Stegostoma tigrinum: one gene and its partners. The protein of the gene in region 2 purifies or fractionates together with the protein of the main gene of each other region. This does not show direct contact. Links are inferred from orthologs where the notes say so. Each region holds a gene or a part of one and is shown on either strand. Other genes may lie near its edges. The genes, in order: uba6, usp48 and sirt6.

Region 1 (7,876 bases), on a different chromosome or scaffold from region 2:
CTCCTTTTCTCCAATGAAAAGAGACCGAGCTCAGTCAACCTCTCTTCATAAGATAAGCCCTCCAGTCCAGGCAGCATCCTGGTAAACCTCCTCTGAACCCTCTCCAAAGCATCCACATCTTTCCTATAATAGGGTGCCCAGAACTGGACGCAGTATTCCAAGTGCGGTCTAACCAAAGTTTTATAGAGCTGCAACAAGATCTCACGACTCTTAAACTCAATCCCCCTGTTAATGAAAGCCAAAACACCATATGCTTTCTTAACAACCCTGTCCACTTGGGTGGCCATTTTAAGGGATCTATGTATCTGCACACCAAGATCCCTCTGTTCCTCCACGCTGCCAAGAATCCTATCCTTAATCCTGTACTCAGCTTTCAAATTCGACCTTCCAAAATGCATCACCTCGCATTTATCCAGGTTGAACTCCAACTGCCACCTCTCAGCCCATCTCTGCATCCTGTCAATGTCCCGCTGCAGCCTACAACAGCCCTCTACACTGTCAACGACACCTCCGACCTTTGTGTCGTCTGCAAACTTGCTGACCCATCCTTCAATTCCCTTGTCTAAGTCATTAATAAAAATTACAAACAGTAGAGGCCCAAGGACAGAGCCCTGTGGAACCCCACTCACCACTGACTTCCAGGCAGAATATTTTCCTTCTACTACCACTCGCTGTCTTCTGTTGGCCAGCCAATTCTGTATCCAAGCAGCTAAGTTCCCCTGTATCCCATTCTTCCTGACCTTCTGAATGAGCCTACCATGGGGAACCTTATCAAATGCCTTACTGAAGTCCATATACACCACATCCACAGCTCGACCCTCATCAACTTTTCTAGTCACATCCTCAAAAAACTCGATAAGGTTTGTAAGGCATGACCTACCCCTCACAAAGCCGTGTTGACTGTATTTGATCAAGCCATGCTCTTCCAGATGGTCATAAATCTTATCCCTCAGAATCCTTTCTAACACCTTGCAGACGACAGACGTGAGACTTACCGGTCTATAATTGCCGGGGATTTCCCTATTTCCTTTCTTGAAGAGAGGAATTACATTTGCCTCTCTCCAGTCCTCAGGTACGACTCCAGTGGAGAGCGAGGATGCAAAGATCTTCGCAAGTGGCGAAGCAATTGCATTTCTCGCTTCCCAAAGCAGCCGAGGACAAATCTGATCCGGGCCTGGCGACTTGTCAATCTTAATGTTTGACAAAATTTTCAGCACATCAGCTTCGTCTATCTCTATCCATTCCAGCATGCACACCTGCTCTTCAAAGGTTTCATTCACTACAAAGTTCGTTTCTTTCGTAAAGACAGAAGCAAAAAACTCATTTAGGGCTTCCCCTACCTCCTCAGGCTCCACACACAAGTTCCCTATGCTATCCCTGATCGGCCCTACTCTTTCTTTGACCATTCTCTTATTCCTCACGTAAGTGTAAAATGCCTTTGTGTTTTCCCGGATTCCTTCTGCCAAGCCTTTCTCGTGCCCCCTCCTGGCTCTCCTCAGACCATTTTTGAGCTCCTTCCTTGCCTGCATGTAATCCTCTCTAGCTGAACTTGACCCTAGCTTCCTCCACCTTATGTAAGCTACCTTCTTCCTTTTCACTAGAAGCTCCACCGCTCTCGTCATCCAAGGTTCCTTAATCTTACCCCTTCTTGCCTGTCTCAGAGGGACATATTTACTCATCACTCCCAACAACTGTTCCTTAAACCGTCTCCACATGTCTATAGTTCCCTTACCATGGAACAACTGCTCCCAGTCCATGCTTCCTAACTCATGTCTAATTGCATCATAGTTTCCTCTTCCCCAATTAAATATCCTCCCATTCTGCCTAATCCTCTCCTACTCCATAGCTATGTAGAATGTGAGGCAGTTATGGTCACTATCACCAAAATGCTCTCCCACCACAAGATCTGATACCTACCCCGGCTCGTTTCCGAGCACCAAGTCTAGAATGGCCTCTCCCCTCGTCGGCCTGTCAACGTACTGCGTTAGGAAACCCTCCTGAACACACCTTACAAAAACAGCTCCATTCAAATCTTCTGCTCAAAGGAGGTTCCAATCAATATTAGGAAAGTTAAAGTCACCCATTACAACAACCCTACTGCGTGCACACTTTTCCAAAATCTGTCGACCTATGCTTTCTTCAATCTCCCTGCTGCTATTGGGGGGCCTGTAGTAAACCCCTAACGAGGTGACTACTCCCTTGCTGTTCCTAATTTCCACCCATACTGACTCAGTAGGCAGATCTTCCTCGACAAAGGAAGCTTCTGTAGCTGTGATACCCTCTCTGATTAGTAGTGCTACACCCCCTCCTCTTTTTCCCCCCTCCCTATTCTTTTTAAATGTTCTAAACCCTGGAACATCCAGCAACCATTCCTGCCCATGAGAAACCCATGTCTCTGTTATGGCCACAACATCATAGCACCAGGTACTGATCCATGCTCTAAGTTCATCACTTTTCTGCCCTGCTTTCATCAATCTTGTCACTTTTTCAAAAAACATATTAAGTTAGTGAGACATAATTTCCCACACACAATTTCCCACACACAAAGCCACCCCGACTATCCATAATCAGCCCTTACCTTTCCAAATGCATGTAAATCCTGTACCTCAGAATCCCCTCCAACAACTTGCCCACCATTGATATCAGACTCACCCGTCTATAGTTCTCTGGCTTTTCTTTACCACCTTTCTTAAATAATGGCACCACATTAGCCAATCTTCCAGAACATCACCCATTGTTATATCTCAACCAGGTGTTTCCCACAATATTCTGGGATACATCTGATCAGGTCCTGGGACTTATCCACCTATATGAATGTTAAGATTTCTAGTATCTCCTCTTCTGTAATTTGGGCACTTCTCAAGATATTACTATTTATAAAGCTGCCTCATGTCCCTATTTTCTCTCCTGATTTCTCCCTTAAATATATTCCTACTGTTCTTATACACCTCTTGGGAATCATTCAATCCTGGGTGTCTATACCTGCCATATGCCTCCATCTTTTTCTTGATCAGAGCCTCAATTTCTCCAGTCATCCAGCATTTCCTGCACCCACCAGCCTTGGAATATAGAAGAATGAAAGCCAACCTTATTGAGACAGACAAAAACTCTTAGAGGATTTCACAGTGTTGCCTGCAAAATCTTCTATACATACGCATCAACTAATTCATCCCTGATAAAATGCATTTACCTAGGTGCTCTTACTAGATAAGACAAACAAAAGAGTATAGTTCTAACTTAATTTTAGTAAATTACTTGCAAGTTAAAGAACTCTTACACAAATTAAAGTTAACTTTCCCAAACTGGGCCAACTGTTGGAGAGTTATGATATTGCCAATTATGTTTCAACAAAATTGACCTGCTGCTGATGGTACTGCAATAACATGGATACCTGTTAGAATTATTTAAAATCCATCACATTTAGTTTTCTCATGTAGTCAAAATAACCAGGCTTTTACTAGCAGATCCTTCTACCAATATTATATCTTTTGAATCCTACAAGTTAAAAATAATGAGTTCAACTCAAATTCTGGAACTTCATCCAGTGTTGTTCCTTCAAATTTCCATGTGGTGAATAGATTAATACTTTTTTTTGTTGCTTGGCATGACTGTAGCGCAGCAGTGATGTGGTCACCTCAATATTTCCTGAATCTTTACGGAAAATGTAATGATACAACATATGATACTGCCGCTGTTATTATTCAGACATTGAAGATAACGGGAAGAACTAATTCAAAACTAAACACTTCCTCAAGCAATTTGGAAATGTGCAGAAGTTAGAGATTTTTAATTTTTTTTCAAAAATCTAGAGACAAAATGAAAAGAAGCATTTGACAGAGGTAGTTGTAATAATTTGGACTGTATGATCTCAAAGTGAAAGAATCAGATTCCATAGCATCACATCTTCCGATTGGACACCCTACAACTTTTAGGATTCAATATCAAATAATAATTATACAACCTGAACACCTTCTTCCATGTCCTTCATCCACCCTCAACACCTCAGGCCCAATCATGAAATGGGGTTCTTTCAGCACAGCCAACACATTTTTCACTGTCTTTTGGTCCCCAATATCAGTTTTTCTTTCTTCTTATGGACTATCATTCCATCCCTTTATCTCCAGAACTTTCATTCTCTCCCTTTCTGGGCTCCATCTCTGCCTATCTGCTCACTCAGATACCCTCAGCATTTATTATACATTACTCCTTTCCCTGGAGTAAATCAGTTCTGGAGAAGGATAACTAGACTCGAAATGTTGACTCTGGTCTCTGTCCACAGATGCAGCAGGACCTGCTGAGTTCCTCCAGCAACATCTGTATTTCTCTCAGGTTACAGAGTTAATGTCCAAATGGAAATATGTTAGAGGGATTGCTTGGTAGAACGAGTGTGAGTACATTAAATGGACAGGATTAGTTTCCTGAGATAACACAGAATGGACCTGGAGGAACAGAGCAGGCCAGGCAGCATCAGACGATATTTTCTGAAAGGGTCCCAACCCGAAATGTCAACTTTCTGGAAGGGTCCCAACGCAAAATGTCAACTTTCACCCAAAATGTCAACTTTCTGGAAGGGTCCCAACGCAAAATGTCAACTTTCTGGAAAGGTCCCAACCTGAAATGTGAACGATCTGATGCTGCCTGGCCTACTGTGTTGTCTCTGGCTCCAGCATCTGCAGTTCTTTCTATTCCTAAAGGAGTAAATTCCTGTTGTGTATGGTGCTAGCTATTTGCTTGTACTCTGAACAGTGAATGAATGTCATTGACCATCTCTGCAATGCTGCAGGTAACTCCCAACCCGTGACAGGACACGGCAGCTGGCCCGGAAGTGTTTGCGGCTGCGCGGGGCGGGGTGAAAGGTCACCGTTTCAGTTAGGATCCGCTCGGGCTGACGGCGCGGTCTTGAGGCCTGTCGGTGAAGGCCGCATCACCACCGCCATCTCTATCTCCATCTCTGGGAGGCTGATGCAGCTGCGTGCTTCCCGTGTTCACCCACAGAGTGCCCCGAGCCGCTCACTCTGTCCTCACAGGTCCCGAGCATCACGGTGAGTAAGCAAAGCACGCACGGAAGGGAAGGTGGGTACCGCCGGCGGCACCGGTAACCAGCTGACACTCACCGCGGCACGGTCTGTGTAATCTTCCGCCCCCCCCCCCCCCCCCCCCCGTCACTGACTGCGGCACGGTCTGTGTAACCCCCCCCCCCCCCGTCACTCACCGCGGCACGGTCTGTGTAATCTTCCGCCCCCCCCCCCCCCCCGTCACTGACTGCGGCACGGTCTGTGTAATCTTCCGCCCCCCCCCGCCCCGTCACTGACTGCGGCACGGTCTGTGTAACCCCCCCCGTCACTGACTGCGGCACGGTCTGTGTAACCCTCCGCCCCCCCCCCGTCACTGACCGCGGCACGGTCTGTGTAACCCTCCCCCCTGTCACTGACTGTGGCACGATCTGTGTAACCCCCCCCCCCCCCCCCCCGTCACTCACCGCGGCACGGTCTGTGTAAGCCCCCTTCTCCACCCCCCCCCCCGTAACTGACCGCGACACAGTCTGTGTTAACCCCCCCGTCACTGACCGCGACACAGTCTGTGTTACCCCCCCCGTCACTGACCGCGACACAGTCTGTGTTAACCCCCCCCCCGTCACTGACCGCGACACAGTCTGTGTTAACCCCCCCCCCCACCCCGTCACTGACCACAGCACGGTCTGTGTAAGCCCCCTTCTCCACCCCCCCCCGTCACTGACCGCGACACAGTCTGTGTTAACCCCCCCCGTCACTGACCGCGACACAGTCTGTGTAAGCCTCCCCCGTAACTGACCGCGACACAGTCTGTGTTAACCCCCCCCCGTAACTGACCGCGACACAGTCTGTGTTAACCCCCCCCCGTAACTGACCGCGACACAGTCTGTGTTAACCCCCCCGTCACTGACCGCGACACAGTCTGTGTAAGCCTCCCCCGTCACTGACCGCGACACAGTCTGTGTAAGCCTCCCCCGTAACTGACCGCGACACAGTCTGTGTTAATCCCCCCCGTAACTGACCGCGACACAGTCTGTGTTAACCCCCCCCCGTAACTGACCGCGACACAGTCTGTGTTAACCCCCCCCCGTAACTGACCGCGACACAGTCTGTGTAAGCCTCCCCCGTAACTGACCACGACACAGTTTGCGTAACCCCCCCCCTCACTGTCCGCAGTGCAGTCTGTGTATACCCCCTTGTCACTGAAAGTGGCAGGGTCTGTGTAAACCTGCCATCGCACTGACCACGGCGCGGTCTGCAAAAACCCCCCCATCACACTGACCACGGCGCGGTCTGCAAAAACCCCCCCATCACACTGACCACGGCGCGGTCTGCAAAAACCCCCCCATCACACTGACCACGGCGCGGTCTGCAAAAACCCCCCCATCACACTGACCACGGCGCGGTCTGCAAAAACCCCCCCATCACACTGACCACGGCGCGGTCTGCAAAAACCCCCCCATCAGACTGACCACTGCACGGTCAGTGTCAACTCCCTCCAACACACTGACAGTGGCACAGTCTGTATAAGCCTCCTCAGACTGACTGCTACATGGTCAGTGTGTACCCCCCTCAGACTGACAGTAGTGTGGTCTGTGCAAGCCCCTTTACCCCAACTCCCACTGACTGCAGCACGGTCTGTGTAAGCCCCCCTGACACTGGCCGCAGCACGGTCTGTGTAAACATCCCCTCACGCTGACGGCAACACAGTCTGTGTAAACCACTCCCTCACACTGACTGCAACACTGTCTGTGTAAACCACTCCCTCACACTGACTGCGACACTGTCTGTGTAAACCACTCCCTCACGCTGACTGCGACACTGTCTGTGTAAACCACTCCCTCACGCTGACTGCAACACTGTCTGTGTAAACCACTCCCTCACACTGACTGCGACACTGTCTGTGTAAACCACTCCCTCACGCTGACTGCGACACTGTCTGTGTAAACCACTCCCTCACGCTGACTGCGACACTGTCTGTGTAAACCACTCCCTCACACTGACTGCGACACTGTCTGTGTAAACCACTCCCTCACACTGACGGCAACACTGTCTGTGTAAACCACTCCCTCACACTGACTGCAACACTGTCATTGTAAACCACTCCCTCACACTGACTGCAACACTGTCTGTGTAAACCACTCCCTCACACTGACTGCAACACTGTCTGTGTAAACCACTCCCTCACACTGACTGCAACACTGTCTGTGTAAACCACTCCCTCACACTGACTGCAACACTGTCTGTGTAAACCACTCCCTCACACTGACTGCAACACTGTGTAAACCACTCCCTCACACTGACTGCAACACTGTCTGTGTAAACCACTCCCTCACACTGACTGCAACACTGTCTGTGTAAACCACTCCCTCACACTGACTGCAACACTGTCTGTGTAAACCACTCCCTCACACTGACTGCAACACTGTCTGTGTAAACCACTCCCTCACACTGACTGCAACACTGTCTGTGTAAACCACTCCCTCACACTGACTGCAGCACTGTCTGTGTAAACCACTCCCTCACACTGACGGCAACACAGTCTGTGTAAACCACTCCCTCACACTGACTGCAACACTGTCTGTGTAAACCACTCCCTCACACTGACTGCAACACAGTCTGTGTAAACCACTCCCTCACACTGACTCCAACACAGTCTGTGTAAACCACTCCCTCACACTGACTGCAACACTGTCTGTGTAAACCACTCCCTCACACTGACGGCAACACAGTCTGTGTAAACCACTCCCTCACACTGACTGCAACATTGTCTGTGTAAACCACTCCCTCACACTGACTGCAACACAGTCTGTGTAAACCACTCCCTCACACTGACTGCAGCACTGTCTGTGTAAACCACTCCC
Region 2 (6,943 bases):
CAGCCTAGTTCTTCTCTCTATACAATAGTAAATAGTAATAGTAAACAACCACAACTTCAAGGCCAAATGCAGCTTGCAGTTGGTAGCACACACCACATATGCTTCTCCAATTACAGGCCAGTTCTCTCCCATATTTGTTGGTAATAGGTAGACAGTTGAACCTATCAGCAGCAAATGCAGATGAGAAAGATCCTGAGATTGGAGAAACAGGGTTTCATAGCTTGTGTATCTCCTATGTATGAGAGTGGGAGATTGAGGTCTCTTGGATTGTGTGACCCTGTGGTGGAATTTTCACAGGTTTCTTGGGTGTGATTCCCCCAACACCTCTGTGTATCTTCATCCCAGGATGGGATTATTTTTGTATCTACTGAATTGCAGAAGTAGGCCACTGTGCATTTGTCACCAACCTCTACTGTCTTCAGTGAACCGGGGAGAATCCTCAGGCCTGCAATGTTTTTGGCTGTTGTCTTGAAGACTACTGGTAAAAGTGACTTTTTGGACAACATCTTTGAGTAGGCAACCTCATTTGTAGCAACTGTGTTGTTATGGTCTTATTTCTTGTGTTGAGAAAAATAAATGATTACGTATTTTAATGAAATCTTATGACAAAGCATGTTTTGTATCCATTCTTGGAAGTCATTGCACACAAGGAGTTAAAACACCTCATCTTTAAAACACACCCTTTTTTGTAGCTAATGGAAAGATGGAACAAAAGGACCCATCCCGCCATCTCTCCCCCAATCATAATAAAGCCCTCGTGGTGATGTCATGCCCACCTTCTAAAAACAAAGGTATTTTCTCCTATACACATAATGCACAATGATTTCAGGATTGTTCCAGTATGTTGACCCAGTGACAGGGCAAGGCCTAGGGAGACAAGATTTTAAATCTAGAAACTTTGGTTTTGTATTTTGCAGTTTAAGATGGTGACAAACTATGGCAACTTTTCGCCATACTTCTGTATTTGGACTTGAATGCATGTTACAACAAAATCTAATTCTAACAATGAAGAAAATGCTGATATCATTCCTCAGTGTGTGGCTTGAAGTGGAATTTCTATTCAGTGGTATTCTATCCGCTGCCCTTGTCCTTCTGGTAGATGTTGCAGGTTTTGAAGGTGCTTTGGTGAGTTGCTACAGCGTACCTGGGCAGATGGCATACACGGCTGCTATTGTACATTGATAGTGGAGGGAGTGAATGCTTGGTGGTGGATTAAGTAGGCCATTTTGTTCTGGATAATTTTGGCATTTCTTGAGTGTTGCTGGACCTGCAATTAAATAATACATCAGCCTAATACTCTTGTTTCTTTTAATATAGATGGTAGACAGGCTCTAGACAGTCAGGAGGTGAGTCACTTTTATCGTAGAATTCTTCTCTCCTGACCTGTTCTTTTGGCTGCAATATTTATGTGCTGGTCCAATTCCGCTTTTGGTCAATGCTAACCCCTATATTATTGATAGTAGAATTAAAACAGGACAATGTCATTGAGTGCAAGGGGCAGATGATTAGATTTCTTCTTGTGGAGATGCTCACTTCCTGGAACTTTAATGCCATTTGTGATATCCCAAGCCTGAATGTTGTCTGGCATATGCTGCACGTGGCACAAACTGCTTAAGTATGTATTGAGTCCCAAATTGAGCTAAACAAGTCGATTAGTCAGTGACCATTTTCAATTGATTTGGCCTTCGACCATCTTGCTTGTTCTGGATATGACTTTAGCTAGTAGAAAGTTGGCTCCCCGATTCCTTTGTCCTCAAATCTTTAATTTCTTGGTGGATTCCCATAGCCAATATAATCAAAGACCCCTCCCACCCTGGTTATAATCTCTTCCAACTTCTTCTGTCAGGCAGAAGATACAAAGGCTTAAACATGCACCAATAGATTCAAGAACAGCTTCTTCCCCGCTGTTATGGGACTTCTGAAGTGGCCTCTAAAATCTTGAATTTAATGTTGATCTCATTCTTTGTGCACCTTCTCTGCAGCTGTAACATTGTGTTCCTTCGTCTTTACTACTACCCTAATGCACTTTGTATGGTATGATATGCCTGTACTGTAAGTAAAACAAAGTTTTCACTATACCTAGGTACATGTGACTATAATAAACCAAATAAAAATCAAAGTCTGTCTTTTTGGTGGAACCAAATGTACTCAGGGTTGCAAATGGAAAAGCCTGAGATATCAGTTGTAAGGTATGATGATTTGATGATTGCAACTGTGAGATTCTTGCTTGCCTAATCTATGGATTAGCATCCCCAGTTTTGTGTCTTCAGAGTTAGGGAGGTACACTTTTAAGGATGACTGGGCTGGGTGTAACTTGTCTGGGATGACGTTGGGCGTATAAGGCTTTACAGTAGATTTGTAGCTTGGGTTGTGGATGTTGTGGTTGGTTGGCTCTCTGAGCTGGTTTGTTGTTCTGTAGATGTTTCGTTACCCTGCTGGGTAACATCATCAGTGCAGCCTCCGATGAAGCGTCGTTGTGTTTTCCCACCTGATATTTAAACTGTGGAGTTTGTTGAGCTAGATTACCTCACTTCTAGTTTTCCTTCAGAATGGAGTGTAGAAAGCCATCAACAAACACAAGGAGCTTGACCCCCATATACACTCCATTCATCGGAGGCTGCACTGATGATGTTACCCAGCAGGTTAATAAAGTGTCTGCACAGCAACAAACCAGCTCAGCGAGCCAACCAACCAACCACAACATGCGGGTGGTCTGTCCTGTTTGGTATTTGATATGTTCAGAGCTTTTGGTACAAGTGATTGCACCAACCCACGGATGCTTTTTGAGGCCTGCGCACGCCTCCCACTACAGTCTTAAATCCTTTACTATTTCTTAATTCTACTAATATTATCGCCATTACCTGCTTACTTCCTGCCATTTGTCCCCCCCCCCTCTCATAGTTGAAGCAACTTCACCCTTAACCACAAAGGCAACACTTTACTATAGTTTTCCCTGGGTTTCCTGTAAATCTTACACTTGCTGTATTTAGTTCTGAGTTGTAGAATCACAGAATGATTACCGCACAAAAGGAATTTGGTCTGATGACTCTGTGCCACCTCCCTATACAGGCAACTGCTCACCTCGTTGGACTAAACTACTCTTCTCCATTGCCTTTTCTTTTGATTGTATTGGTTGCATCAGATCACCCCTTCCCCACCCAAACACTCTTGGGCAGTACATTTCAGACGTGAACTACTTGCTGTGTAAAACATTTTCTATTCTGTTGCCATTTCACTTTTTCCAAACATCTTTTTAAAAAAAGGGCCCCCTGGTTCAATACCAACAAAAACAGTTTGAAACAGTATGTTTCCTATTTGGACACCAAGCCACGTGAATGTGAAAACCGATACGTAGTCTCTCCTCAACTAAGCTCGATTTATGTCACTGAAGTTCATCGTCTCTCCAACTTTTCTCACAAATCTCCTATCTGGCAGCCTAGCCTGTCTCAACTAGAGTTACCATGTCGTTGCTTCTAAGCCGAATTTTGTACCTGAAATTCATCCATCTTGCTCCTTGTGTGCTTACCGCAATCGTGTACAGAATGTTCATCTTAACGTGTCCTGCTCGAAAGGGATAGTGAAAATGAAGTCCAAAATGTGTTATAACATCTTTAGGAGGTTGATTAGAAAGTCTCTACACCACTGTCTGACTAAAGACGATTCAGGGACCGAAATAAGAGCTGATCATGAGTGTTACAATAAAGTTCAGGTGAGTATAATCTGACTGCAACATAATAAAGATACATTTCTACAAGAGCACACTGAGACAGGTTTCCAGCCTGTGTGCCCTACGTCATTACGCGTAGTAGTTATGACATCATTTGGATCTGTGCTCCTGTGTGTTCTACGTCAGGATCCCGGCTGCTTGGCGGTGCGGAGCAGGCCTAGGGCTCGGAGTGAAGGCCGCGGCGGGACCGGACCGGGCCAGGCTAGGCCGGCTTTGGGGGCAGAGTGAACCAGAGAGGCGCGGCGAGCGGACAATCCCCACACCACGGCCGCAGGCTGAGCGGCGCCTATGGCCCCCAAGCAGCAGCTAGAGAAGGCGGCCTGGCAGTGGACTGAGAGCATCAGGCCGGACGAGGTGAAGCAGGAGCATATTGAGCTGGCGTACCGCATCCGCCTCGGTTCCTGCCGCAGGGACGCCCGCAGGTAAGGGCCGGGAGGGAAGGCGGGCGTCGCCGCATTGACCACCGCTTTAGAGCAAGGGGCGGCCCAAGGCGCTAGGTCCATCCTGGTCCGCCCTCACCACCCTCTGAACCATCCCTTCCCCAGCTACACCCCCACAAAATCTCCCTGAATCACCCCGTGCCTCAGCCTTCTCCTTTACTTCCTAACTGTCTGCTCGCTCTTCCACCCGCCCCTCCAATCCCTTGTACCCTTCTCGCCTCCTGACCCTGAACCTCACGTTCCTGTGCACATTTATTACACGGTCATGGTGATGTCAATTAATCAATGTGCAGGCACGTTCTTACTTAGAGGGTGTCTTTCGCCAGTAGCTGATGCCACTTGACCCAGATGTATAGGTGGCTATCTTAACAATCATTATTGGGGCCAATTACTCCAAGAAGCAAATTGCATTTGCTTCACTTTATTTGGTTGTTTGGAATAATGGAGAGCTGGTGAGGAAGGACATGGATGATTACCCTGATTTGTTTACCATGGTGAGGAAACAGATTTTCATGTGTCTCCTTAAAATTTTGATTGCACTGCCTAAGAGGACAGTAGAAGTATATTCAGTCTCAACATTCACATTTAAGAGAATTGAATAAATATTTTACTGGAACTGAGGAAATTTTCATGAGTATGAAGGTAATAAGACAGCTCTGTGGCAGAAGCACGGTAGGCTTCAATAACACCTTTTTTTTTCTGTATTTTGAATTCATTTAAATGGATACATAAAGTGGCTCATTTGACCTGTAAGGTGACATGTTGGCTTGATTTCAGTTTTACACTTTGAGCTTTTCCCTACCTCCCTTGTCTTCTCTGCAATAATAGTTTCTACGCACCCAACTAGTTATCTGTGATGTAAAACTGGATTTCTAAAAAAGTCACGTATTTCTTTCCATCTCTTCGCCTTCTCTACCAACTCCTGCCCCCCCCCCCCCCCCCCTCCCCTCACCCGCCCAAAAGACAATTTAGCAGGCTGTCATTTGAGACTAGTTGTCAATGTCTGACCTGAAGTTTGGAAAATCTGATGCAAGATTATAACTTTTTTAGGGTTACACTACTTGGTGACATTTAAAAGTTATTGCTAACAAAATAATAAATGCAAAATATTGGTGCTTAAGGATAAAATTTTGGAGTTACTTTTAAAGATAACCTTTTCAGAATGGGAGTCTTCTTCTGTTAAGTAATCAGAACAACCAGGTTGACGTCCTGGTATGCTACTCAATGGTGTGTCTGTGTGCAGTACAAATCTTGTTTTATTCAGAGGACAGATTTGCCACCATTAAACGCAATGTGAAAACTGTTCAGTAGCTGTTTAATCCAAGTTGTCTGTCATCTGTAAGGTTGCTACTGACTGGATGTCAGAGAAAAGTAGCTCCCCTCATATATTGGTGCTTGCTGTTGGAAACAATATTGTCATTCTGACAGATTGTTCAGAACCTCAAAGCATTTTGATCTAAATTTGCAGAAAATAAGTTGGGGCAATGAATTCCGAGCAGATAGTAAAACTGTTTATAAAATGTATTAGATAGAAGTTGCAAATTGGTAGAAAAGTAGCCAGTGACCTGATTTTAAATGATACATTTAATCTTTAGTGAAATATTAAAATGAAATAAACTTTTTGTTGAATGTTGCAATTTTGGAGAAATTGGATTGTAACAACTTACATGTATATTTTAATACCTCCAGATTTATAAAAATCGTCAAGGTCCTCTCATGATAAGCAGTCAGAGTTTGAGATATTAGATTAGGTGACCAAATATAAGGAGGATCCTTTTTAGGGAGCACCTTGCAGGAGGAGAGTTAGTTTTGAACGTGGAACAAGAGAATCAGAACTGTAGGTGCACAGTTCTCCGGGTTGTAGAAGCAAATGAGAATGGAAGGACCTACGTGAGATTGTTGACTTGCTCGCTGAGCTGGCTTGTTTTCGTTCTGACATTCTGTCACTGTGCTCAACAACATCTAGGAAGGGATTTGAAGATGATGGTGAGAATTTCAAAAGTGAGCTTTTGTCATACTGGAAGCCAACACAGAAGGGGGGTGGTGCTGTGCAAGAACTGTACAAATTGTTAATAGGCTACAATTTGAGTACCGTGTACAAGCCTGGTCACTTTGTTATAGAAAGAGATGTAATTGCTTTGGTGGAGATTTACAAGATACTGCTGGAATTGGGGAAAATGTAACAGCAAGGAAAGTTTGGATGGTCTGGGCTTATGCACCATGGAATGGGGGAGGCTAATGGGAGATTTGATTGAGATGACCAGTTACTCCAAGAAGCAAAATTGTGATGGGCCTGAATAGAATGAAGGGGAAGCGTCTCTTGCTCTTAGCAGAGAAATCAGTGATTAGTGGGCGTAGGTTTTAAAGTGGTTAGTAGACAGATTTGAGGGAGATGAAGAGATTTTTCCACCCAGAGGGTGGAAGGGAATGGGAACACACTGTAGAAGCAGAAAGGTGACTAGATGCAGTGCAGGCCTATGGACCAAATGCAGGAAAGTCAGAGTAGGCTGGCACAGACATGAAGGGCAAGTCACCTCTTCTTCAGCTGAGAGCCTCTATTCTTGTATAGCTGAGTGACTCCTGGTGATAAAGATGATTAGTGGATTTCTGTATGAGTTAAGATTTGTGTACTTCACTTCTGCTAAACAGGATAGTTTTAAATCCAGATTGTCTGCTTATTACAATGCATTTTTTACACTCAAATATTTGCTGCTCAGCCAAATGTGATTCCTGTCATAAGTTGATTTATCTTACTGCTAGTGTCCCATCTGGCTTA
Region 3 (8,005 bases), on a different chromosome or scaffold from region 2:
GGGCAGCTCTGAACTGCCAAAGTTTGATTGGGTTCACAACAGCCTTTCAAATAGGCACTGGTGCCAGAGATGCCAGGGAATTCTGGTATCAGTGAGTTCTTCCAGCAACATCAAGTGAGAAAGGCAGGCTACTATTGGACAATAGCAGCAGCTTAGGGGCTTGGTTAGGGTTAGGCAAATAACGCGTCATACTTGGGACACGTGCATGGGAAATTTCAGTCGACGCAATGGAGAGAAATGCTCCATGAAAGTCATTGAAAATGACAGTCAACATATGGAAAGATTCAGCCCAAAGTTAACGTTGACAAAAGTCTAACCCTAACTTTCTCTCCGCATAAATGATGATACCTGCTGTGAAGCTCCAGTACTTTCTATTTTTATTTCATATCTCCAACATAACACAGTACTTTGCTTTCAGCCAAATGGGACTAGATTAAGATATCTGATCAGATATCTGGAAGATTTAAACTGAAAAGGGTCTGTTTCTGTGCTATACAATTCTCCGTCTCTGTTAGCTCCTCCCACGGACTGTCACTTGGAGAATCAGTGGGCAATCACACAGACATTCCTCAGTTAACCTCAACTTAGCCTTCTGACATTACTATCACCTTCACTAAACTTAAAGACACAACACATAGGGAAACATTAATTTATTAGACACTGCAGTATTTAAATAACAAAAGACAACACAAATTTAGTTGAAGTTTTTCAAAATAAGTGACACAGTTCTATAGGCAAGAAGCCATTAACCTAACAAACACATTCTGGAGACTGGAGAGGTCACACAATGAGTTTCCATCACAAGCTCGCAAAACTGGAATATTTCAACCAAGCAGTTTCAGTATCACAGATTTAAATTTAATAATTGACATGGTGTTCACTACAATACAGTCCTTGACAATCTTTTTCAGACAGTAACTCCTGTACATATCCAGCCTTGTCGTGGACACTTCATTCATTTGCAAATCATTCATTACCTCAGTGATTTCAAATTTCCCGGGCTCCCAGTTAGCTGTCTGTTCCTTTGTTGACAAGTTTGAAACTGTTCTTCTTTGCAGTCTCTCTCTCTCTGTTTTTACCCTTTCAGACTCACTCATTCTTGCCTGCCTACTTCTCCAGCTCCTCTCTTCCTCTTGCATCCCAATTAATTTCCATTTCTCACCCTCCACCAACCATCCACACTCCTGGCAGCATCTTTGTCCTAAGCACTTCTCACACTATAGCTTCTCCCTCCCATCTCACTTTCAGCCTGCAGGCTCCTCAGCTCTTTCCAGCCCCTTTGGACTACTGCATCTATCCCCATTGTCTCTGCCGACCTCTCCCCAATTACCTGACCTATAGAGATCTCCCCCTCCACACATTGTCCGTCACCTCCCAAACTCCTTTCTCACAGCAACTTGGAATTTTTAAACGCAGATTCATCCACACTCCTGTGTGTTTCGAGCATGTTATAAATTCCAGTCAACACACTTTATGACAGGTGCCAAGTCCGAGGAGAGGTTACAGGAGGGATTTAAGAGAATGGTACCAGGAATAAGGAGCTTCAATTTAATGAAGAGGAGTGGGGTTAATTAATTCAGAGGTGATGATCTGAATGTCTCCTTGCATTCTGCCCCTCTCCTCAGCTCCCCTCAGACCATTCCCTGCCAGTTCATCCCCTACATCGCACTCTCTGTCCATTCTCCCTCGTCAGCCTCCCTCCAGGCCTCCCCAGACCTCTCACCACAGCCCTTCCACTTTCTCTCCATTCCCCTGCCCTCAGACCCATTTCCTCTCTATTCCCACCTCCACTTTCCCCAGCTTCCCGTCTCCTTACTCAGCATCCCCTTCCTCAGACCCTCCCCGGCATTGTACGCCCCCAACTCCGACCCTCCCCAGCATTGCAACGCCCCTCCCCCAACCGTCCCCTAACCCTGCCCACACTGCACCCCCCGTCCCTGACCCTTCCCCTCACTGAGCTCCCCACACCGACCTCCCCAGCATTGCAACCCCCCTCCCCCAACCGTTCTCTGCACTGTGCTCCCATGACTCTCCCCTGCATTACACCTCCCTCCCCAATATTCCCCCACACTGCATCTTCCCCCTCCCTCGATATTCACCAGCATGATCCAGTTCTGCCCCCCTCGACCTTCTCTAGCATTTGTTACCCCCAACCCGACCTTCCCCAACATTGTTCCTCTGCCACGGATCTTCCCCAGCATTGTTCCCCGACCTTCCCCAGCATTGTTCCGCCACCATGAATCTTCCCCAGCATTGTTTCCCCACCATCCAATCTTCCCCGGCATTGTTCGCGCAACATGAACCTTCCCCAGCATGATTACCCACCACCCGACCTTCCCCAGCACTGTTACCCTACCCAACCTTCCTCAGCATTGTTCCCCCACCAAGGACCTTCCCCAGCATTGTTTCCCCACCATGGATCTTCCCCAGCATTGTTACCCCCCCACCCAACCTTCCTCAGCATTGTTCCCCCACCAAGGACCTTCCCCAGCATTGTTCCCCCTCCACCCGACCTTCCCCAGCATTGTTCCCCCTCCACCCGACCTTCCCCAGCATTGTTCCCCCAACACGGACCTTCCCCAGCATTGTTACCCCTCCACCCGACCTTCCCCAGCATTGTTCCCCCAACACGGACCTTCCCCAGCATTGTTACCCCTCCACCCGACCTTCCCCAGCATTGTTCCCCCAACACGGACCTTCCCCAGCATTGATCCCCCAACATGGACCTTCCCAAGCATTGTTCCAACCCCACCTTCCGTAGCATTATGCCCCCCACCCAATCTTCCACAGCATTGGCCTCCACCGACCTTCCTCAGCATTGTTCCCCTCCTCGACCCTCCCCAGCATTGCTCCCCTCAGTTCCGTTGCACCCCCGCTTCCCCAGCACTGTTGACCCCCAGCCTCGTTCACCCCCTGCCCCCCCCCCCAGCCTCGTTCACCCCCTGCCCCCCCCCCCAGCCTCGTTCACCCCCTGCCCCCCCCCCCAGCCTCGTTCACCCCCTGCCCCCCCCCCAGCCTCGTTCACCCCCTGCCCTGCCCCGCCCCCCAGCCTCGTTCACCCCCTGCCCCCCCCCCAGCCTCGTTCACCCCCTGCCCCCCCCCCCAGCCTCGTTCACCCCCTGCCCCCCCCCCCCAGCCTCGTTCACCCCCCAGCCTCGTTCACCCCCTGCCCCCCCCCCCCAGCCTCGTTCACCCCACCCAATCTTCCACAGCATTGGCCTCCACCGACCTTCCTCAGCATTGTTCCCCTCCTCGACCCTCCCCAGCATTGCTCCCCTCAGTTCCGTTGCACCCCCGCTTCCCCAGCACTGTTGACCCCCAGCCTCGTTCACCCCCTGCCCCCCCCCCCAGCCTCGTTCACCCCCTGCCCCCCCCCCCCCGCCTCGTTCACCCCCTGCCCCCCCCCCCCCCCCCGCCTCGTTCACCCCCTGCCCCCCCCCCCCCCCCCCGCCTCGTTCACCCCCTGCCCCCCCCCCCCCCGCCTCGTTCACCCCCTGCCCCCCCCCCCGCCTCGTTCACCCCCTGCCCCCCCCCCCCCCGCCTCGTTCACCCCCTGCCCCCCCCCCCGCCTCGTTCACCCCCTGCCCCCCCCCCCCGCCTCGTTCACCCCCTGCCCCGTTCACCCCCTGCCCCCCCCCCCCGCCTCGTTCACCCCCTGCCCCCCCCCCCCCCCCCGCCTCGTTCACCCCCCCACCCCCCCCGCCTCGTTCACCCCCTGCCCCCCCCCCCCCCCCGCCTCGTTCACCCCCTGCCCCCCCCCCCCCCCCCGCCTCGTTCACCCCCTGCCCCCCCCCCCCCGCCTCGTTCACCCCCTGCCCCCCCCCCCGCCTCGTTCACACCCCCTGCCCCCCCCCCCCCCGCCTCGTTCACCCCCTGCCCCCCCCCCGCCTCGTTCACCCCCTGCCCCCCCCCCCCGCCTCGTTCACCCCCTGCCCCGTTCACCCCCTGCCCCCCCCCCCCCGCCTCGTTCACCCCCTGCCCCCCCCCCCCCCCCCGCCTCGTTCACCCCCTGCCCCCCCCCGCCTCGTTCACCCCCTGCCCCCCCCCCCCCCCCGCCTCGTTCACCCCCCTGCCCCCCCCCCCCCCCCCCCGCCTCGTTCACCCCCTGCCCCCCCCCCCCCCCCCCCCGCCTCGTTCACCCCCTGCCCCCCCCCCCCCCCCCCCGCCTCGTTCACCCCCTGCCCCCCCCCCCCCCCCCCCCGCCTCGTTCACCCCCTGCCCCCCCCCCCCCCCCCGCCTCGTTCACCCCCTGCCCCCCCCCCCCCCCCCCGCCTCGTTCACCCCCTGCCCCCCCCCCCCCCCCCCGCCTCGTTCACCCCCTGCCCCCCCCCCCCCCCCCCCCCCGCCTCGTTCACCCCCTGCCCCCCCCCCCCCGCCCCCCCCGCCTCGTTCACCCCCTGCCCCCCCCCCCCCCCCCCCCGCCTCGTTCACCCCCTGCCCCCCCCCCCCCCCCCCCCCGCCTCGTTCACCCCCTGCCCCCCCCCCCCCCCCCCCGCCTCGTTCACCCCCTGCCCCCCCCCGCCTCGTTCACCCCCTGCCCCCCCCCCAGCCTCGTTCACCCCCTGCCCCCCCCCCAGCCTCGTTCACCCCCTGCCCCCCCCCCAGCCTCGTTCACCCCCTGCCCCCCCCCCAGCCTCGTTCACCCCCTGCCCCCCCCCCAGCCTCGTTCACCCCCTGCCCCCCCCCCAGCCTCGTTCACCCCCTGCCCCCCCCCCAGCCTTGTTCACCCCCTGCCTTTTTCACTCCCCCAGCCTTGTGCACACGCGCATTGCTCCCCCTCATGACCTTCCCCAGCATTGCTTCCCTCCAGCACTGTCACCCCACCCCCAGCACTGTTCTCCTCTCGCTCTCGCACCCAGCACCATCCCCGTTTCTCTGTCCGGTCCCTCCTACTCCATGCCCATTCCGACCTGCGCCTCCCACCCGCCTCTCCTCCCCCGAAGCTACCTATCACCTGTTCTGTAGCGCCCTCTGGCCTCCGGGAGGTCCTGCCTGCACGGCCTGGTGACGTCACGCAGGCCCCTGCCCGGGTTGTTGTGCTGGAGCCATGTCCGTGAACTACGCGGCCGGACTGTCTGAGTACGAACACAAGGGCAAGTGTGGCCTTCCGGAGGTAAGAGGCTGTGCCGCTTAGATGTCGTTGCAGGGGGAAAAGGATTCCGGGCCTGTCCTTGGATAGGCTCGCATCCTGGGGAGGCGCCGGGGTCATGAGACCTCGGCGTCCAGCTCCGGACTGGGGCCTTCGTTAGAGACTGTTTGGCCGGGACCCCCAGAGGAACGGGAAGAGGAGGCGAAGATCAGTGAGGGAGGGCAGGCGGGGATGCGGGAGGGGGTGAAGGAGAAAAGGACCGAGGAGATTCCACTGTGTGGGGACCCTCTTAACGTTGGAGGCGGCCGTGGATTGGGAGAGGGAGGTTGCTAGTGATGGTGGACATCACAGATGTCCCTGTAAGGGTTTGGTTTCATTGCTTTATTAATCTGAAAGAGAACGATCTATGTTACATGGATATATATTCTGGAGTACCAAGAGATTAGCAAATGAAATTAGAGTATGTAGTATTGGGGATGGGTGGGAATAAAATAATTTGGATGGAAAATGGCTTAATAGAAGGCTGAAGAGTAAGCAGAGATAATGGGAACTACAGGTGCTGGAGAATCCAAGATAACAAAGTGTGGAGTTGGATGAACACAGCAGGCCAAGCATATTAAGCAGATGTTCACCTACACAACTGCCAACGTGGTATACTGTATCCACTGTACCCGGTGTGGCTACCTCTACATTGTGGAAACCAAGCGGAGTCTTGGGGACCGCTTTGCAGAACACCTCCGCTCAGTTCGCAATAAATAACTGCACCTCCCAGTTGCAAACCATTTTAACTCCCCCTCCCATTCCTCACACAAAATTTCCATCATGGGGCTCCTGCAGTGCCACAATGATGCCAACCGAAGTTTGCAGGAACAGCAACTCATATTCCGCTTGGGAACCCTGCAGCCGGATGGTATCAATGTTGACTTCACAAGCTTCAAAATCTCCCCCTCCCCGACTGCATCCCGAAACCAGCCCAGCTCGTCCCCTCCCCCCACTGCATCACAAAACCAGCCCAGCTCGTTCCCCGCCTCCCTAACCTGTTCTTCCTCTCACCTACCCCTCCTCTCACTTCAAGCCGCACCTCCATTTCCCATCTACCAATCTCATCCCACCTCCTTGACCTGTCTGTCCTTCCTGGACTGACCTATACCCTCCCCACCTATACTCTCCTCTCCACCTATCTTCTCCTCTATCCATCTTCAGTCTGCCTTCCTCCCCCCTCCCTATTTATTTCAGAACCCTCTCCCCATCCCCCTCTCTGATGAAGGGTCTAGGCCCGAAACGTCAGCTTTTGAGCTCCTAAGGTGCTGCTTGGTCTGCTGTGTTCATCCACACTTTGTTATTTGGATATGGGGACCAGTTTCAATGTTTCCAAATTTGCTCATGATGCTGAATGTAATGAAAATGTAAGTTGTGTGAAGCCTTCAAGGGAATTTCGACAATCTAAGCGAACATGCCAGATGGAATATAGTAGAACTTTATGAAAGTATTGAGTTTGATTGAAAAGCTGAAAGGCAGGATGATCATTATGTGATTGGGAAGGAGTGATCTAGGTATCTTTGGTTACTAAGAGCTAGCATGCTGGTGAAACAAGTATTTTAAAAGCAAATAGAATATTAGTCTTCATAACAAATAAACTTAAGGACAAAAGCAAAGTAAAACTAAAAGAACTGCAGATGCTGTAAATCAGGAACAAAAAGAGAAGTTGTTGGAAGCTCAGCAAGTCTAGCAGCATGTGTGAAGAAAAATGAGAGTCATCGTTTTGGGTCCAGTCTGAGGAAGGGCCACTGGACCCAAAACATTAACAATAGTAAAAATGTCTTCCTGCTATTTTATGGAGCCTTGGCATGTACACACCCTGGTTATTGTGTACAGTTCTGTTTGGCTTTTCTACGTAAAGTAAATCCTTCCTTAGATGTGCAATAGAGGTTAACCTGATTAATTGTTGCAATGGTGGGATTGTTTTATGAAGAGAGCCTGCAGAAACAGGATCTTTAGTCCCTAGAGTTTGAAGGGATGAGAGGTGATTTCTTTCAAATTCACAAAATAAATTACAGGGCACGGCATTGTTGCTATAGAGAGGATGCTCCCTCTGCCTGATGAGTCCAAAATCAGAGGATGTTATCTCAAATAGGGGGCAGGCCAAATAAGATTGAGATGAGGAGCACTTTTTTTTCCACTGACAATGTTGGATCTTTGGAATTCTCTTCCCCAGAGTCATTGAGCAGTTTAAAGCAGAAATCGATTTCTGAAAACTGGCATTGTGTGGAAAAGTAACACCTCTGTAGATAATTGGTCATGATTGAGTTGATTGGCAGAGCAGTCTTAGTTGACTGACTGATCTACTCCTGTTCCTCTGTCACATTTCACTTCTGCACTGCAGTTACATTGCAAAGTAACAATGTATTGGTCGCAGTCCGCTATGGAGAGCAGCAAAAAATGCACTCAGTGAAACACTAGTACTGATCTAAAGTGAGATTATTTTAATTTACTGGCACTGGAATGCATGACATGGTGGCAGTGGTTGTTTGTTAGTGAAAACTGAAATATTTTAAATGAATTTTGTGCTGAATTAATTGGAAGAAGAAGTCATCCTACATTTGTACCAGAGTGTGTGGAAAAACTAAATTGTTGTCAGAAAACGGAATGGCTGTAACAGCAACGATATGGGTGGCATTCAAACTTCAATTAAATGTGCCCCATTTGAAGATGCATCTGAGAAATTTGAACGAAAGTGCAGACTGATATTCAGCACCTCTCTAAAGGCACTAGCAAAAATGAAGGAACCTGCAGGCAGGAGAGAAAGGTTAAATTGTTTAATAGTTGAAGATTGAGGATGACAGCAGAAACCCCAACACAATTTTTTTTAGATTTGGCATGTATTTTTATCCGGAGTCAAAACATTGGATTTATCAG

The links.
Region 1: the proteins of usp48 (region 2) and uba6 fractionate together in Homo sapiens (co-fractionation; 3 studies listed by BioGRID, with this or other methods). This does not show direct contact. The link is inferred for Stegostoma tigrinum from reciprocal best matches to the Homo sapiens genes USP48 and UBA6.
Region 3: the proteins of usp48 (region 2) and sirt6 purify together in Homo sapiens (affinity purification with mass spectrometry; 3 studies listed by BioGRID, with this or other methods). This does not show direct contact. The link is inferred for Stegostoma tigrinum from reciprocal best matches to the Homo sapiens genes USP48 and SIRT6.

Annotation. Positions count from the first base shown.
Region 1 is NC_081356.1:17,087,789-17,095,664, reverse strand, and holds the start of uba6 (ubiquitin-like modifier-activating enzyme 6), read left to right. Parts: upstream 1-4,855; 5' UTR 4,856-5,042; intron 5,043-7,876. UniProt on the Homo sapiens protein: Activates ubiquitin by first adenylating its C-terminal glycine residue with ATP, and thereafter linking this residue to the side chain of a cysteine residue in E1, yielding a ubiquitin-E1 thioester and free AMP.
Region 2 is NC_081381.1:45,487,452-45,494,394, forward strand, and holds the start of usp48 (ubiquitin carboxyl-terminal hydrolase 48), read left to right. Parts: upstream 1-3,850; 5' UTR 3,851-4,015; coding exon 4,016-4,149; intron 4,150-6,943.
Region 3 is NC_081383.1:37,838,520-37,846,524, reverse strand, and holds the start of sirt6 (NAD-dependent protein deacetylase sirtuin-6), read left to right. Parts: upstream 1-4,990; 5' UTR 4,991-5,047; coding exon 5,048-5,113; intron 5,114-8,005. UniProt on the Homo sapiens protein: NAD-dependent protein deacetylase, deacylase and mono-ADP-ribosyltransferase that plays an essential role in DNA damage repair, telomere maintenance, metabolic homeostasis, inflammation, tumorigenesis and aging.